Linked DNA regions of Saccharomyces cerevisiae S288C. Changing the gene in region 1 together with any one later gene gives a genetic interaction. Each region holds a gene or a part of one and is shown in the gene's direction. Other genes may lie near its edges.

Region 1 (5,479 bases):
AGCGAAGGCAAAGAACAATAAAAGGAATAACCAACTTGAAGACAAATCTTCTAGGCTCACCAAGCAGCAACAGCAGCAACTGTTACAGCAACAACAACAACAACAGCAAAATGCCCTTAAGACTGAAAACGGAAAGCAACTCGCGAATGCATCCTCTTCTTCAACATCACAGCCAATTACGTCTCATGTTTATGTCAAACTACCATCTTCCAAAATTCCTGACATTGTATTGGAAGACGTGGATGCTCTATTGAACAGCAAAGAAAAAAATGCAAGAAAGTTCGTTCAGGAAAAGATGGAGAAACGGAAAATTGAAGACGCAGATGTCTTTTTCAACTTAACGGACGATCCCTTTAATCCTGTATTTGACATGTCGTTGCCTAAAAATTTTTCGACTAGTAATGTTCCCTTTGCATCTATCGCGTCATCCAAGTTTCAGATAGATAGATCTTTTTATTCTTCACATTTACCAGAATACTTGAAGGGGATATCTGATGACATCAGAATATATGATTCAAATGGCCGTTCGAGAAACAAAGATAATTACAACTTGGATACCAAAAGAATCAAAAAAACTGAACTGTACGACCCATTCCAAGAAAATTTGGAAATTCATTCGAGAGAGTATCCAATAAAATTCAGGAAGAGAGTTGGTAGATCTAATATTAAGTATGTTGATCGTATGCCAAATTTTACAACATCGTCGACCAAGTCTGCATGTTCTTTAATGGATTTTGTAGATTTCGATTCAATCGAAAAAGAACAATATTCAAGAGAAGGTAGTAACGATACTGACTCGATTAATGTTTACGATTCCAAATACGACGAATTTGTCAGACTTTACGACAAGTGGAAGTATGATTCTCCACAAAATGAATATGGGATCAAGTTTTCAGATGAACCGGCAAGACTTAACCAGATTTCAAATGATACTCAGGTGATTAGATTCGGAACAATGTTGGGTACGAAGTCCTACGAACAATTAAGGGAAGCCACCATAAAGTATCGTAGGGACTATATCACCAGACTGAAACAAAAGCATATACAACATTTACAACAGCAACAACAACAGCAGCAGCAGCAACAGCAGCAAGCACAACAACAAAAGCAGAAATCACAGAACAATAATTCAAATTCTTCGAACTCCCTAAAAAAATTAAATGATTCGTTAATCAATTCAGAAGCGAAACAGAACTCTTCTATAACCCAGAAAAATTCATCATGAGCAGCACAACTTTGTACCTCTCGAACATCTTTCTACGCATTGGCATTTAACAAACCTGACATTCAAAGTTTACTACGAAAGTCGAGGCAACATTACTGAAGATTCAAATCACCGAAATGAACACCGATAACGCAATAATAATGAAAAAAAACAAAAAACAAAAAAAGATAACTACAATAAATTTCAAAAGAAAAATAGCAAGTATCATCCGGCTGTAATATTATCACCTTCACAAGACTACATATTTTTAACGTTTTTTTTAATTTCCATTTCACACGGTTGTGACCTTTTGATTTTTCGCATGATTTCATCCCAAATGCTTGATGTATTTAAGTTAGATTCATACTCTTATATAGACAATTGCATAACTCACTAGGTACCCTCAAATAAATGCATTTCTTCTTATTATCCATTTTTTTTTCCTGTATGGCGCGAATTTTGAAAAAGGTCTAAATATACCAACCAAGTCATAACAAGAAAAAGTAAAAATGAGTCTCAACACATTCCTTGCAGTTCCATCTGATAGTAAATTCACACTCGAAATACTCCCTCTACTTTAAAGCATTGGCCTATATCTTAGGCTTACCATCATACAAAAATCTTCATTTCGTTATGGGTATCAGGAGATTAGTTAGTGTTATAACGCGGCCCATAATTAATAAAGTTAACTCATCTGGTCAATACTCGAGAGTACTCGCTACGCGTGAAGACCAGGATAAAGCTTCCCCCAAATATATGAACAATGATAAGATAGCAAAAAAACCTTACACATATCGCCTTTTCTCTATTCTTGGCATTTTAAGCATTTGCTCGCTTTTATTGATATCGCTACTGAAACCTTTTAATGGTGCAGATGCTCCTCAGTGTGAATCTATCTATATGTTTCCATCTTACGCAAGGATCGATGGATTTGACGAGAGGTATACACCACTGGCACACAAGTATCATCTTTACTTGTATCGAGAACAAAGCGTAGACCGAGAACCTTTAAATGGTGATGAGTTACAACTTGATGGTATCCCTGTACTTTTTATACCCGGAAATGCAGGTTCTTTTAGGCAATGCAGATCGATTGCTTCCGCTTGCTCCAATATATATTTTGATTCCAATACCAGGGCGACTCTGCGTAACGAAAATGTGCGAAATTTGGACTTCTTTACGGCAGATTTCAATGAAGATTTCACTGCGTTTCATGGTGAAACAATGCTTGATCAAGCTGAATACCTAAATGATGCCATTAAGTACATCTTGTCTCTTTACGAAAGGACCCCTGATTACCCACATCCAAAACCGCAGTCAGTTATTATCGTGGGACATTCCATGGGCGGTATTGTATCCAGGGTCATGCTAACTTTGAAGAACCACGTACCGGGAAGTATAAGCACCATATTGACCTTATCATCACCTCATGCTGCTTCACCAGTAACCTTTGATGGTGACATTTTAAAGCTTTACAAAAATACAAACGAATATTGGAGAAAGCAGTTATCCCAAAACGATTCTTTTTTCTCTAAGAACATTTCATTGGTTTCCATTACAGGCGGTATATTGGATACTACTTTACCTGCAGATTATGCATCTGTAGAAGATTTGGTTAGCTTAGAAAATGGGTTCACCAGCTTCACAACTACTATTCCAGATGTTTGGACTCCAATTGATCATTTAGCCATTGTTTGGTGCAAGCAATTAAGAGAGGTACTAGCGCGCCTTTTATTGGAAAGTATAGATGCCTCCAAACCTGAAAAAGTTAAGCCATTGAATCAGAGATTGCAAATCGCTAGAAAACTATTGCTTTCAGGGTTTGAAGACTACTCATGGATGAATAGTAAGTTAAATTATCCTCAAGAAAACTTACAAGAATTTAGTGACAACTTCTTTTCTGATTACGCTACTTTGGAAATGAACGATGTCCTAGATTTTGAAATGTTTAACCTGGAAAAGTGGCACAACAATTATACAAAAATAAATATTCCGAGTAACATCTCCTCCACTGAACACCTGCATTTCACATTATTAACTAGTCTCGATATGCCTATGATCTATTTCTGTACAGAGTCCAGGGTGAATCTAAGCTGTATAACAGCTGTTGATAGTATTCTAACAGTGCCCAGGTCTTCAAAAGATACTCAGTTCGCAGCTGATTCTTCTTTTGGAGAAGCAAAAAATCCGTTTAAAGCCGTTAGTGTTGGCAAGAATATACTACAGAAGTACGACTACTTGATGATAAGCAAACCCACTTACGGTGAATTTTCAGAACAAGAAGGCATGGAGGACAATCAGGGGTTTCTTTTGGCATTACTGCGCAACGTCTCCAATGTACAAATAGTCAATACTACACCTTCTCAAATATTGCTCTTTGGAGAACAACTACACTTGGATGGCAAAGACATCGAGCAGGTTATAAGTTTCAGTAATTTGTGGGATTCTTTATTATCGTACAAATTAGAAACCAAGATTGAGGCAAGCAACGAAGGTATTGCTTCCGAAGAGACATTGTTTCAGCCTTTCATAAGGCAATGGGTTTACGAACCTTTCGAGTCTAAATGGCATCTAAATATTATAAACAAAAGTCTCGATATAAATATGCATAATGTAGCACCGTTTATCCCATTAAATGAAAGCGAACCGAGATCGCTACAATTAAGTTTTTTTATTCCACCCGGAATGTCCTTAGAAGCTAAAATGACTATTAATTGGTCTTTAACTTTGAAAATGCTGTTTATCAGGTACAGATTAGCACTAGCATCTTTTCCAGTCGCGTTTATAGCACTCGTACTGTCATACCAGTTCTACTGGTACAACAAGACATCTGAGTTTCCTTCCTTTGATAGCACTTTGGGATATATTTTAAGAAAGCACGGAATATTAATGTTTTTTACGCTGTTCTTAGCTTCGCCTGTGGTTAATAATAAGTTGGTACAACGAATACTTTATTTATTGGATCCTGTCGGTTTAAATTATCCATTTCTGCTATCCGAGAGAAACATGCATGCAAATTTTTATTATTTGGGGATCAGAGATTGGTTTATGTCAACTATTGGAATTCTCTTTGGGGTTATGACAGTTGGATTACTAGCACTAGTTTCTAAGATTTTTGGATCCTTGGAAATTTTAGTAATATTCCTTCAACGGAAGTTATCAAAGAAAAACACTGAAGATAAAGAGGCTTTTGATACTATTGAACATAAAGCGTATGGTAAGGGAAGATTAATGGCATCTGTGCTTTTATTACTGTTGGTATTTTTTCACATACCATACCAGATGGCGTTTGTTATCTCATTAGTAATCCAAATTGCTACCTGCATTAGAGTAGCGCTGTTGAAACTATCAAACAACGAGCAGAAATTGAACTTACTAAATTATAATATGACGTTGCTTCTGCTTTTATTATTTGTTAGTGCCATTAACATCCCTATCATTATTGTTTTCCTGCATAATGTTGCCATCAAATGGGAAACTTCATTTAGATCCCATCACAATATACTAGCAGTGGCACCAATTATTTTTTTGGTTGGAAATAATTCTATTTTCAAAATGCCAAACAGCGTACCTTTAGACACGTGGGATGGTAAAGTTACCATCATTTTATTTGTGTACTTAACCGTTTTCAGTTTCATTTATGGAATAAGAAATCTGTACTGGATACACCACTTGGTGAACATAATATGTGCCTGGTTGCTATTTTTCGAAACAATACATTAGAACTACAACCCAGTAAAAAAAGATTAACTGTATATATTGCCTGAGAGTTCTAGATCATGGCAAGAAAAAAGCTTGAACTCGTAAAAGCAAAGGTGGTTTCTACCACTACTTACGAGATGTTTATTATGTAAAGGAGTTTAAATATTATCAAATAAGAAAGATACCATTTTTTTTTATAGAGAATGTGGTGCATCTGATGAGCACCTGAATCTAGTAGTAACCTTATACCGAAGGTCACGAAATTACTTTTTCAAAGCCGTAAATTTTGATCATAAATTATTATTATCTTCAGTCCAGAACTTTCTGGCTTCCTCATCAGCTGCCGTATCGGGAGTGTACATGTCGACGGGTTCAACTTCTCCCTCTTTGTAACTTGCATCAGCAAACGGTCCTATCCTAGTATTTTTTGAACTCGTAGGTGTGGGCAACTGATAAAACTGATTTTTCTCTATATCATCTGCAGTCTCAGAAACAAAAGTTCTTTCCGAATGTTTATCCGATGTTGTTTCCTTCCTTCTAGGATATAGGTCATATAATCTACTTCTGAGACTG
Region 2 (4,368 bases), on another chromosome or scaffold:
CATCGGTGAACAAGGTAAGCCTTACATTTCTTTGCCAAAGGGTAAGGGTATCAAGTTGTCTATTGCTGAAGAACGTGACAGAAGAAGAGCTCAACAAGGTTTATAAATTTCATAACAACTTAATTATTTTCTTCTTTTGTATATCTCCATTAATGTTTATTAGAAATTGAATTTTAAAATAATACATCGTATCTTCCTTTTTCGACTGGCAGTAATATAACGTATAATATATATATTAGGTGTGTGTATATATATCCGTATTGTAATATTGATAGTAAAAATACGCTAACCCTGAAATAGAAGGCGTATGATAAGACGTACTGACACTACGCACTACCACAATATATGCGTATGTGTGTGTGTGTGTGTGTGTGTGTGTGTGTGTGATTGTATTGGAATATATATACTTACTAAAATTAGCTTATATGGTTCGCATATTGACTATTTATAAGGATATTCAACTTGTCTGTCCTTTCTTAACCAAATTTTCTTCTTTCTCTTGGTGGTAACATGTTCCACAAACTTCTCAGTACAATGATCCACTTTGAATTTCTTTATGAAAACAGGGTCCCATAATTCAGAACCGACGCCGAGATCTTTGCAACACCTCATTAATGCATTACTTTTGCAACCTTCTGTAGCAGTTGGTATGCCGGCTTCGTTGAAATAGTCTTGTTCGCCTCTTGCCACACTGATCAATTGACCATGGCAAATAAGACCGTACTCCCTAGTGACCAGCTTGGATGTCACTATTGTTTGTGATCTTGGCACTAGCCCCCAACCGCCTGCGCCAAAAGCTTTGTTCAGTATTCTACGGTATTTAATTTCAGGCAAGTATATCAAACCATCTGGCTTGATTTCTATATCCTTAGGGTCCAGAGGCTCGATTAGATCCTTTTGCACTTTTGCTTCAAAGGGCTTCATACCTAGGCCATACCATGAAGTATACCAGTCAATGTCTCCCTTGACTTGCTTATAACTATTGTTCAAAGAATCATCGGCGGTGCTGCGGGTTTCCAAAGGGGTCCCGCCGAGTTTAGAGTTAATGCCGCTTGAATATTCCTTCATGTGGCTTCCATTGCCAGCTTCCGATTTTGTTGCAAATACAGGCTTGGTTTCGGTACTGTTGAAACTTTTCCTCACTGCACCGGCTGTTGCGGTGTTACTAGTGCCGGTACTCACCACGGTTCTTTTTTGGCAAAATTGAGCAGCATGCGATACACATCCTCTAACCTTGAAAATGCTTTTCATCGTACGCTGATCTTCCTACTTGTCCTTTCTTTCCTTTTTTAGTCTCTACCGTCTTTTTAAATAGTTTCTTCCATTATTCTGTCGATAAATTTCGTGATGTTATTCGTGTATTTCTTGACAAAAAAAATAAAAAATGAAAAATATGCATAATGAAACGCGCTTTATCAAAACTACTCACTCGAATCCTTACTTCTATATTAACTGTACTAAGAAGTTTGTCGATACATATTTTACCAAGATATTTTCTGACAGTCCACAGAAGTACAGATGTCTGTGCCCAAAAAACGTAACCATGGGAAGTTACCACCTTCCACTAAGGACGTAGACGATCCTTCGTTGAAGTACACGAAGGCCGCGCCTAAATGTGAACAAGTTGCTGAACATTGGCTCTTGCAGCCACTACCGGAACCGGAATCACGTTATAGCTTTTGGGTAACAATTGTTACCTTATTAGCGTTTGCTGCTAGATTTTATAAGATCTGGTATCCAAAAGAAGTTGTTTTTGATGAGGTACATTTCGGGAAATTTGCATCGTATTACTTAGAAAGGTCTTATTTCTTTGACGTTCATCCCCCTTTTGCTAAGATGATGATTGCCTTCATTGGTTGGTTATGTGGCTATGATGGTTCCTTTAAGTTTGATGAGATTGGGTATTCTTATGAAACTCATCCAGCTCCATATATCGCGTACCGTTCTTTCAACGCGATATTGGGCACATTGACTGTACCAATTATGTTCAACACTTTGAAGGAACTGAATTTCAGGGCTATTACATGTGCGTTTGCATCTCTCTTGGTTGCAATCGATACTGCGCATGTTACAGAAACTAGGCTGATTTTACTGGATGCCATCTTGATTATTTCTATTGCTGCTACTATGTATTGTTACGTTCGTTTCTACAAGTGCCAATTGCGTCAACCTTTTACATGGAGTTGGTATATTTGGTTACACGCTACTGGTTTGTCTTTATCCTTCGTGATTTCCACAAAATATGTTGGTGTTATGACATATTCCGCTATTGGTTTTGCTGCTGTGGTCAACTTATGGCAATTACTGGACATCAAGGCGGGTTTGTCCTTGAGGCAGTTCATGAGACATTTTAGTAAAAGGCTGAATGGTTTAGTTTTGATTCCATTTGTGATTTACTTGTTTTGGTTCTGGGTTCATTTCACCGTTTTGAATACTTCAGGTCCTGGCGACGCATTTATGTCTGCTGAATTTCAAGAAACACTTAAGGACTCTCCCTTAAGTGTTGACTCTAAAACCGTCAATTATTTTGATATTATCACTATCAAACATCAAGATACTGACGCATTCTTACATTCTCACTTGGCACGTTACCCACAACGGTATGAAGATGGTCGTATCTCATCCGCTGGTCAACAAGTTACTGGTTACACGCATCCTGACTTCAACAATCAATGGGAAGTGTTACCACCCCATGGCAGTGATGTCGGTAAAGGACAAGCTGTTCTATTGAACCAGCATATAAGATTGAGACATGTAGCCACCGATACCTACTTGTTAGCCCATGATGTCGCCTCCCCATTTTACCCTACCAATGAAGAAATCACTACAGTAACTTTAGAAGAAGGTGATGGGGAATTATATCCTGAAACACTTTTTGCATTCCAACCACTGAAAAAATCAGATGAAGGTCACGTTTTAAAGAGTAAAACGGTTTCTTTCCGTCTTTTCCACGTTGATACCTCCGTAGCTTTGTGGACTCACAACGACGAGTTGTTACCGGATTGGGGGTTCCAACAACAAGAAATTAATGGTAACAAAAAAGTTATTGATCCTTCAAATAACTGGGTTGTTGATGAAATTGTTAACCTGGACGAGGTTCGGAAGGTATATATTCCGAAGGTTGTTAAGCCATTACCATTCTTGAAGAAATGGATTGAAACTCAAAAATCTATGTTCGAACATAACAATAAACTATCATCAGAGCATCCATTTGCCTCTGAACCTTACAGTTGGCCCGGTAGTTTAAGTGGTGTTTCGTTCTGGACCAACGGTGACGAAAAGAAGCAAATATATTTCATTGGTAACATCATTGGGTGGTGGTTCCAAGTCATATCATTGGCTGTTTTTGTTGGCATTATCGTGGCCGATTTAATTACTAGACATCGTGGCTATTATGCCCTAAACAAGATGACCAGAGAAAAGCTGTATGGCCCATTGATGTTTTTCTTCGTCTCCTGGTGCTGTCATTATTTTCCATTCTTTTTAATGGCGCGTCAAAAGTTTTTGCATCATTACTTACCAGCTCATTTAATCGCGTGCTTATTCTCAGGAGCACTATGGGAAGTAATTTTCAGTGATTGCAAATCATTGGATTTGGAGAAAGACGAGGATATTTCAGGTGCATCATATGAACGGAACCCTAAGGTCTACGTTAAACCCTATACCGTCTTCTTGGTGTGTGTCTCCTGTGCTGTTGCGTGGTTTTTTGTATACTTTTCACCACTAGTGTATGGAGATGTCAGCTTGTCACCATCGGAAGTTGTTTCTAGAGAGTGGTTTGACATAGAATTAAATTTCTCCAAGTAACTTTTTCTGTTCACTAACCACAAACGAACTGAACGCCTTCCTCCGTTTAGTGACAAAATAGAGTACTTTTGATCTTAGATAGTATGTACCTAGATGTGTATATATGAAAAAAATTCTTTATATTTGTTTAGATATCAACCGGTAACCTCTTGAATGTTAATTCAAGGTGGGGAATGGTAACCTTCTGTGCATTCTAGTTACTAGTTCAAGATAATTGGGCTCATTTTCTGGAGTGATGTAGCCATGTCTAATCAAGAAATCTACCATTACCAATGCACAATTTGGTTTGAACTCTTTTTTTCTTAAAGCATTAATCGTCTCTTGCAGGCTGAATAAATTGAAACTCTCGACTTCACCATCGTTTGGTTTTGGAATGATGTCTTCGCTGAGTTTTAGATCGTATACATATTGTACTTCCCCTACGATAAAATCTGATTCCTTATTGAACTTCGTTACAGAAATATCACCCGTAAAGTAAAGGTAGGAAACTGAACCAGTTGCTTTAATGTTATCCTCAATAACACTCTTTTCTAGATTGGCTTCCTCCATGCTTTCTTTCAA
Region 3 (4,656 bases), on another chromosome or scaffold:
AGCCTCTGCAGAAGCCAATGAAGAGGAAAAAGAATGTGCCTCAACTAAGATGACATCACCTCGGTTACAAAAGACTCTTAAAGTAGATTCCCAGGCATTTGTGTTACCTGCAGTGGCTAAAACGTCCCAGTCCTTATACTTCAAATCGTGGATAATCTTGGTATGATCTCTAATGAAGTTTAATAGTTCAGGTTGACCAGCACTGAACCCGTATTGCAAAGCTCTTGACAAAGGAATATCGTTGGAAGGATTGGCACTTTTATCAGCGTAATCTTTGTTGACGGTGTATTTTATGCAATTCTGCTCGTCAATTGGAGCTCCAATACCCTGGGGAAAAGGAGGCTTGGGTGAATCTACAGATAGATTATCCCATGGGAAATAATCTTTTAATGGCAGGCCACCACCCAAAAAGATAATGTTAGGATCTTGGAAAAGATGGATGCAGGTTTTCAATGGGGATGGTTTACGAGCATTGGTTTCATCCGAAAACAAGTAAGAAAAGTCTTTTGATTCAGGTAAAGTCATGATAGTAACGATCGGTTGTCCTATTCAATGTCTGTATCAACTGCAGGGTTTAACTTAGTGGAATGGAAAAATAAGAAAAAGAAATAAGTTCTTAAAGATATAACCAAACCAAATATATAGTCTAGAGATGTGTATAGGAGGGTCTACAAGATAAGAAAAAAGATTGCGATACACATATCTTCAAATGAAATGCGCTTAATATTAGTCATAGATTGGACCTCGAGAAAGTGAAAAAGTGCAGAGTGAAAAATGTGATAAAAAAAGGAAAAAAAGACATCTAAGGTAACCCGGATGTTCTTCATTATTCCGGCGCAATTTAGTACTGTTCTTCTATCAATGGCAATTCAGAAGCCAGATTCTTGAATGAGGTGAAGGAGAACAATGGTTATAGGTTAATTAAGAGATTTTTGGATGGTGTATATGAGCCATGTTTAATCTTGGAAAAATAGTGAACCGGGAAAAAAATAAAGAAGAACTCCTCATAGGGGGCTCGAACCCCTGACATTTCGGTATCCTTGCTTAAGCAAATGCGCTTAAAAGCCGAACGCTCTACCAACTGAGCTAACAAGGATGAGTTCTTCGGATTTCTTCGATAATAGTTTTAGTTAAATATACATTATGTTCACATAATGCTATTATTTAATGCACATGTTAATGGACGGTAAACTACTTATCATTTATTGCAACAAATGAAAAGACACCACCCTAACAGCACGAAAAATGATGTTAATGTCTTGTATAGTATTGTCGGATAACTAACTCTCGTCTCAACAAAGCTTAAATAAGAGCTGAGAGATTGGTGAATTTTAAGATGATTGTAGGCATTTCATTGTTGATCAAGGCTACAATATTATGTATACAGAATATACTAAAAGTTCTCCTCGAGGGTAGAGGAATCCTCAAAGGGGAAGCGATATTTCTACATAATATTATTACGATTATTCCTCATTCCGTTTTATATGTTTCATTATCCTATTACATTATCAATCCTTGCACTTCAGCTTCCTCTAACTTCGATGACAGTTTCTCATACCTTATGTCATCGTCTAACACCGTATATGATAATATACTGGTAGTGTGACTACTAGTTTATAGACGATAGTTGATTTTTATTCCAACAGGATCATTTTGTTAGGTGAGGAATTGCGAGCTTTTTGGCTATAACTTTCAAGTTTTGTCACCAACATTTATATTTGCTTACTGCAGCCCGGAACCGAAAAACAATGTGGAAAAAGAAAAAAAAGTGGAATATTTTGATAATATAGGAAACATTAAGAAAAGCGATTTCTTATCATTGTCTTCAACTCCCATCTATTTGAAAAAGCTTGCTGAAGCATACTTTGGTTAAAGAGTACCTTGGCTATAGAATACCGTAGAGATAAAGACCTGAATAGATGTTTTACAATAGGTGGCTCGGAACGTGGCTAGCCATGTCTGCTTTAATAAGGATCTCAGTATCCCTTCCGTCATCTGAGGAGTACAAAGTGGCATATGAGCTGTTGCCAGGGTTATCTGAAGTGCCAGACCCTTCAAATATTCCACAGATGCATGCTGGCCATATTCCTTTACGTTCCGAAGATGCGGATGAACAGGATAGCTCTGACTTGGAGTACTTTTTTTGGAAGTTTACCAATAACGACTCTAATGGCAATGTCGACCGTCCCTTAATTATATGGTTAAATGGTGGACCCGGTTGCTCTTCCATGGATGGTGCCTTGGTCGAATCCGGCCCTTTTAGGGTGAATTCAGACGGTAAACTTTATCTAAATGAAGGGTCCTGGATATCCAAAGGCGATCTTTTATTTATCGACCAACCTACTGGTACTGGGTTTTCTGTCGAACAAAATAAAGACGAAGGTAAAATCGACAAAAACAAATTTGACGAAGACCTAGAAGATGTGACCAAGCATTTTATGGATTTTCTGGAGAACTATTTCAAGATTTTTCCAGAAGACCTCACTAGGAAAATCATACTATCGGGTGAAAGTTACGCTGGCCAATACATACCATTCTTTGCCAATGCAATTTTGAACCATAACAAATTTTCAAAGATCGACGGGGATACATACGACTTGAAGGCGCTATTGATTGGTAACGGTTGGATTGACCCCAATACACAGTCCCTATCGTACCTTCCGTTTGCTATGGAGAAGAAACTGATTGATGAAAGCAACCCCAATTTCAAACACTTAACGAACGCACACGAGAATTGCCAGAATCTGATAAACTCTGCCAGTACAGATGAGGCAGCCCATTTTTCGTATCAGGAATGTGAGAATATTTTAAACCTTCTATTGTCTTATACCAGGGAATCTTCGCAAAAGGGAACAGCGGATTGCTTGAACATGTATAACTTCAATTTAAAAGATAGTTATCCATCTTGTGGTATGAATTGGCCGAAAGATATTTCCTTTGTCAGTAAATTCTTCAGCACACCTGGTGTTATTGATTCGTTGCATCTTGATTCTGATAAAATTGATCATTGGAAGGAATGCACTAATAGCGTTGGAACTAAATTGTCTAATCCTATTTCAAAGCCATCTATCCATTTATTACCTGGTCTACTTGAAAGTGGAATAGAGATTGTCTTGTTCAATGGTGACAAAGACTTGATTTGTAATAACAAGGGCGTATTAGATACTATAGACAATCTAAAATGGGGTGGAATAAAGGGATTTAGCGACGATGCTGTTTCGTTCGATTGGATCCATAAATCGAAGAGTACAGACGACAGCGAAGAATTTAGCGGATACGTGAAGTATGATAGAAATTTGACGTTTGTTAGCGTTTATAATGCTTCTCACATGGTACCCTTCGATAAAAGTTTAGTGAGTAGAGGCATTGTCGATATTTACTCGAACGATGTTATGATCATTGACAACAATGGGAAAAATGTTATGATTACTACTGACGACGATAGTGATCAAGATGCTACTACTGAAAGCGGTGATAAGCCAAAAGAAAACCTCGAAGAGGAAGAACAGGAAGCGCAGAATGAGGAAGGAAAGGAAAAAGAAGGCAATAAAGATAAAGATGGCGATGATGATAACGACAATGATGACGACGATGAAGACGATCACAACTCCGAGGGCGACGACGATGATGACGATGACGATGATGAAGACGATAATAATGAAAAACAAAGTAATCAAGGCCTCGAGGATAGTAGACATAAATCTTCAGAATATGAACAAGAAGAGGAAGAGGTAGAAGAATTTGCAGAAGAGATTTCAATGTATAAACACAAAGCGGTAGTAGTTACCATCGTTACATTTTTGATAGTGGTTTTAGGAGTTTATGCGTATGATAGAAGAGTGAGGAGAAAAGCGCGTCACACAATTTTAGTTGATCCAAATAATAGACAACATGACAGTCCCAATAAGACAGTTTCATGGGCAGATGATCTGGAAAGCGGACTCGGGGCAGAAGATGATTTAGAACAAGATGAGCAGTTAGAAGGCGGAGCACCCATAAGTAGCACTTCTAACAAAGCAGGATCTAAATTGAAAACTAAGAAAAAGAAGAAGTATACTAGCCTTCCGAACACTGAAATCGATGAATCTTTTGAGATGACTGATTTTTAACTTGGCAAATAAAAATATATAAAAAATACAGAAAAATAGTTATAATACCTCGCACACGCTTTTCGTAGTAACAGCGACATAAAGATAAATTCTTTAAAGGGTACAATCCATCAAGAACTGACTGTTTTATTTAATTCACACTACTGAACTTCATATTAAAGTGTCGTCATTTAAGTCTAGTAGGTTATATTAATCGCGCACAATAGTTTTTTTTTATGCAAACTGTATCACGAATATTTTTTCAGTTTTCGGACCATTTTTTGACATTTTTAACCAGTTTTTAACATTTTTATGGTAGCGTTCTTTTATTTTTCACGTAATTGCATTGAAATAGACATAAACGTATAAAATAATATACAAGTAATTAGAGCTTTTGAACGAGATTGTTTAGTGGTTGTTTTAACTCCTTCACAGAAGTTGAAAACTTCAACGCATTCATAGCCCCACATATCAACACAAATCCCTGGAAATGAATGGAACTGATATCCTTCGTTTTTTGCAATCTTCCCCCACCATTAGTTACAGCAAACATTTTATACTTATAACA
Region 4 (3,646 bases), on another chromosome or scaffold:
ATGATGTCATTGGACCGGCCGTATGTGTTCCAGAGGTGTTTGTAGTTCCAGCTACCATTTTGGAAGGGTATTTTGAGTTCGTATAGTTATTTGTTACTGGTGCATTCAAAGTAGAATTTTGAGCTATTGTACCAGGATAGCCCTTTCCTATCGTTGTCCCTTGATAAACAAAGGGTCTAGTATTATGACTTGTAGGGTCAAAGTAATAAGAATCTTCGTCAGGGTATGCATAGTTGAACAGGTCATGTTGGGCAGTAGCCCACTCGTTGTTGTCCTCAGCCAAAGCATCGAGGTTGATATTATTTTCAATAATATAATCCGACGAACTCAATGAATCAAAATCCCATTTCATTTCCACATCGCCTTCGTTCACTCTCTTAATTTCATTATCATTTGATGCTATTGACTTTTGTGCTTCATCACCCCCGCCATTTTGTGATGGTTTTGGAGCTTCACTGGGTTTTGATGGCTCATTTTCCGGTATACTGCCCTCTATTTTATATTTGTTTTTATTCTTGTCCCTAAATAGTAGATATCGTGATATTAGTTCTTTCAAAATGGACGTTGGCGTCGCCTTGTGGGCCCTGATAAATTTTGATTTTAAAAGATCGTCTGCTGACAATCTCTCCTTTGGATCCTCATCAAGACAAAGCGCAATAAATTCTTTCAAAGATGTACTGTATGATCTGTCCTCAAGCCTCGGTGGTTTCGATTTGATGATTAGTTGCATTGCCCTTAGGGCCTCCACATCGCAGTATGGCGGATTTCCGGTGGCAATCTCGTACGTTGTAATACCTAAAGACCATATATCTACTTTAGTGTCGTAATAAACGCCTTCCATGATCACTTCTGGAGCCATCCAGTAGGGGGTCCCAGCCATAGTTTGACGTCGTAAAGAAGTTTGGTTTACTTGTGCAGCGACACCAAAATCGCATAGTTTAACATTACCTTCGTTAGTGATCAGAACGTTTGCTGCTTTGATATCTCGATGAATGACGTTATCTTTATGAATGCATTTTAATGCTACAAGCAGTTCTCTCATAATAACCCCAATGTACTTTTCATCGATTTTGCCTGGCCTTAACAACGAACGCAGTGAACCACCAGCGCAGTGTTCCATTATGATCCAAAGGCTTGTGTCTTTCAAATACGACCCATAATACCGCGTGATATTGGAAATCTGTTTCAAGGAGGCCAAAAACTGAATTTCTCGCTGCACATCCTCCACCTCGTCAGAATCAGAATCTAAATTTAAGACTTTGATAGCATACACTCGTCCAGTCTTCACGTTATAGCCCTTATAAACCACACCAAATTTCCCTCGCCCAATAACTTCCGTTCTCTTGAAAAGTGAACTCACATCCATCTCTCCTTCGGCTAAACCCTGCTTACTATTTTGTGGCTTCGTCGTCATTACTGCCTGTTCTCTATACGTGTTTTGCTTGCCAGTCGATGGCGCCCAAATTTATACTTTTTGTTTCTTTATCTGTGTACTGTTAAAAGTAGTACTGTTAAAAGTAGTAAGCTCCTTAGAAAGCGGTTCCGCCTAATAGTTCCTAACTTGTTGTATGTGGCTTCACGTAGGACGAGTTGCCTCTGTTCTTCTTTGACTTTTGCCACGTCGGCAAGCTGCTGCTCTTGTTGATGCCTTTAAAGATTGTCAGATCGGCCTGAGATCGACGTGTGGCATGATAATGTTGCTCGATGGGCTGTAAATAGATAAGAAAGAGTGAAACGAATAGAGTAACGAGGCCACAGATGTGGCGAAACCTGGGAGGATATGTTCTAACGTTATCTAGAGTTCTGATAGAGCATTGTATGCGATAGTACCGCTGACATATGTGCATTCTTTAATTATATCGATGATATCATGCAACACGGGTTAGCTCTGTAGTAATGTAAACCTCTCTTAACTACGGCCAAGAATATCAGCAGCGGAGGTTAAGTTGCAGGTTATACCTATCTGTTTTGTAGTTAGGAAACGTAGGCGCATACTAATTAGGAGTAGCAAGGCAAGATGCAAACTGTGTTGAAATATTTGTTGCTTATTATGTGTGGAAGCTTTTGTGCTTCGGAGGAATTGCAAAACCAGACCAATGTTCCTGCAATATTCTTCTCTTACAAACTGTATGTAGAACAAGAAACATTAATCTTTAGTAACTTTCATTTTTCTTACTAACTAGATGTTATACACATATTTGTACTTTTGGATAGAACTCCCGGTATTTTAAAGTATCAAGAGGATTATGATAGGGCTGTGACTTTACCAAGAGACACCTTTATTGAAGCGGCTGAGAAATTCTTAGGTGTATGTAATGCTGACACTTATGTGTTTATTAATCAACCAGGCCTGAGGAAATTGGACTTCTTGGAATTTGAAACAGAGTTTGTTTCGTTACAGAGATATATAAGACGGAGTTCAACCGCGATTAAGTTCGAAAAGGTAGACCTATTGCCTCAAGATTTATACTATGATCTTGCAGAGTTTGTAAAGGAGTATTGTAACGTAGACCAGGTGTTGAACTTACGAGGTAATAATACAGAAGATTTCCAGCCCTTTATTGATAGCGAAAAAAGAGTGATTATAATAGAGTACCCTAAGTTACCAGAGGACACTAATGAACGTAAAGAAGCATTCCGCCATTATGACAAGTATTTGAGGACTATACTGGCGCAGATTCCGTCGCCAGAACAAAATGTCATTTACACCTCGTTAAACCCAGGAACTACGCTGGCTCACGAGTCGATCATCCCTATCCAAATATTTCCAGATATCTTTGACATAAAATCCAGAGTGGGTGAAGTGGAACAAAATAATAGAGTTTTGGATGTGCCTCGTCTGTCGTTTAATGACTATACTCCACGATTTTCAGAGCCACCTTCGGAGTATGTCTCAATATTTGATTCACAATTAATTGAGAATAACAGAGGTTTATTACAGCTGATTTTCACAATTTTGGTTGGGTATATTCTTATTCAGTTTTTTTTCACAAAAAAAACTATTGTAGATGAGAAGATTACTAATAAAAAGGACAACGTGAAACAGACGTCACCACAACTGCTCAAAAAAGTGCAAGAGATCCAGAAAAAGCCATCCCAGCAAGTATCTTGATTATGGTTCGTTATATACATCGATTCTTTGCAAAATTATCCATGAGAGACTTCGCGCCATGCTACAATTTACCAATGCGCATCGAGAAATTTATGCTATCGCATTTAATATGATATAATTATCCGTCTGTTTATATATATATATATATGGGGCCAAACTGAAAGGCGGCAGTTACATTACATCGTCTCCTCTACCTAGTCATGAACATCAGTGGCACCTTAAATACGCTCCGGTTGCTTTATAACCCATCACTGTGTAAGCCTAGTCTAGTTGTCCCCACTTTTAACGATCTTCCTATACCAATCCACGATTCTATAAAGGCCGTGGTCTTGGATAAGGACAACTGCATCGCCTTCCCTCATGATGACAAAATATGGCCAGATTACTTGCAACACTGGGAAACCTTAAGGTCGAAATACTCTAACAAAGCACTCTTGATTGTTAGCAATACCGCCGGTTCCAATTCTGATAAGGACTATTCGCAAGCAAAACTTTTGGAAGATAAGACAGGTATACCTGTTTTGCGGCACTCTA

Evidence for each region.
Region 2: mutations in BST1 (region 1) and PMT4 together harm fitness more than expected from each alone (negative genetic interaction), as found in Saccharomyces cerevisiae (3 studies listed by BioGRID).
Region 3: mutations in BST1 (region 1) and KEX1 together harm fitness more than expected from each alone (negative genetic interaction), as found in Saccharomyces cerevisiae (5 studies listed by BioGRID).
Region 4: mutations in BST1 (region 1) and BIG1 together harm fitness more than expected from each alone (negative genetic interaction), as found in Saccharomyces cerevisiae (3 studies listed by BioGRID).

What each region holds. Positions count from the first base shown.
Region 1 is NC_001138.5:83,593-89,071, reverse strand, and holds BST1 (Bst1p), read left to right. Parts: upstream 1-1,837; coding exon 1,838-4,927; downstream 4,928-5,479. Other genes in the region: EPL1 (Epl1p), read left to right, coding at 1-1,225; alpha-factor pheromone receptor STE2, read right to left, coding at 5,197-5,479.
Region 2 is NC_001142.9:697,765-702,132, reverse strand, and holds PMT4 (dolichyl-phosphate-mannose-protein mannosyltransferase), read left to right. Parts: upstream 1-1,518; coding exon 1,519-3,807; downstream 3,808-4,368. Other genes in the region: 40S ribosomal protein eS4 RPS4A, read left to right, coding at 1-106; MGM101 (Mgm101p), read right to left, coding at 442-1,251; YJR142W (uncharacterized protein), read right to left, coding at 3,964-4,368. UniProt on the Saccharomyces cerevisiae protein: Protein O-mannosyltransferase involved in O-glycosylation which is essential for cell wall rigidity. Forms a homodimeric complex to transfer mannose from Dol-P-mannose to Ser or Thr residues on proteins.
Region 3 is NC_001139.9:111,928-116,583, reverse strand, and holds KEX1 (serine-type carboxypeptidase), read left to right. Parts: upstream 1-1,919; coding exon 1,920-4,109; downstream 4,110-4,656. Other genes in the region: ARO8 (bifunctional 2-aminoadipate transaminase/aromatic-amino-acid:2-oxoglutarate transaminase), read right to left, coding at 1-525; YGL204C (uncharacterized protein), read left to right, coding at 4,579-4,656.
Region 4 is NC_001140.6:314,340-317,985, reverse strand, and holds BIG1 (Big1p), read left to right. Parts: upstream 1-2,017; coding exon 2,018-2,127; intron 2,128-2,214; coding exon 2,215-3,112; downstream 3,113-3,646. Other genes in the region: putative serine/threonine protein kinase KIC1, read right to left, coding at 1-1,414; GEP4 (phosphatidylglycerophosphatase), read left to right, coding at 3,313-3,646. UniProt on the Saccharomyces cerevisiae protein: Required for normal beta-1,6-glucan synthesis.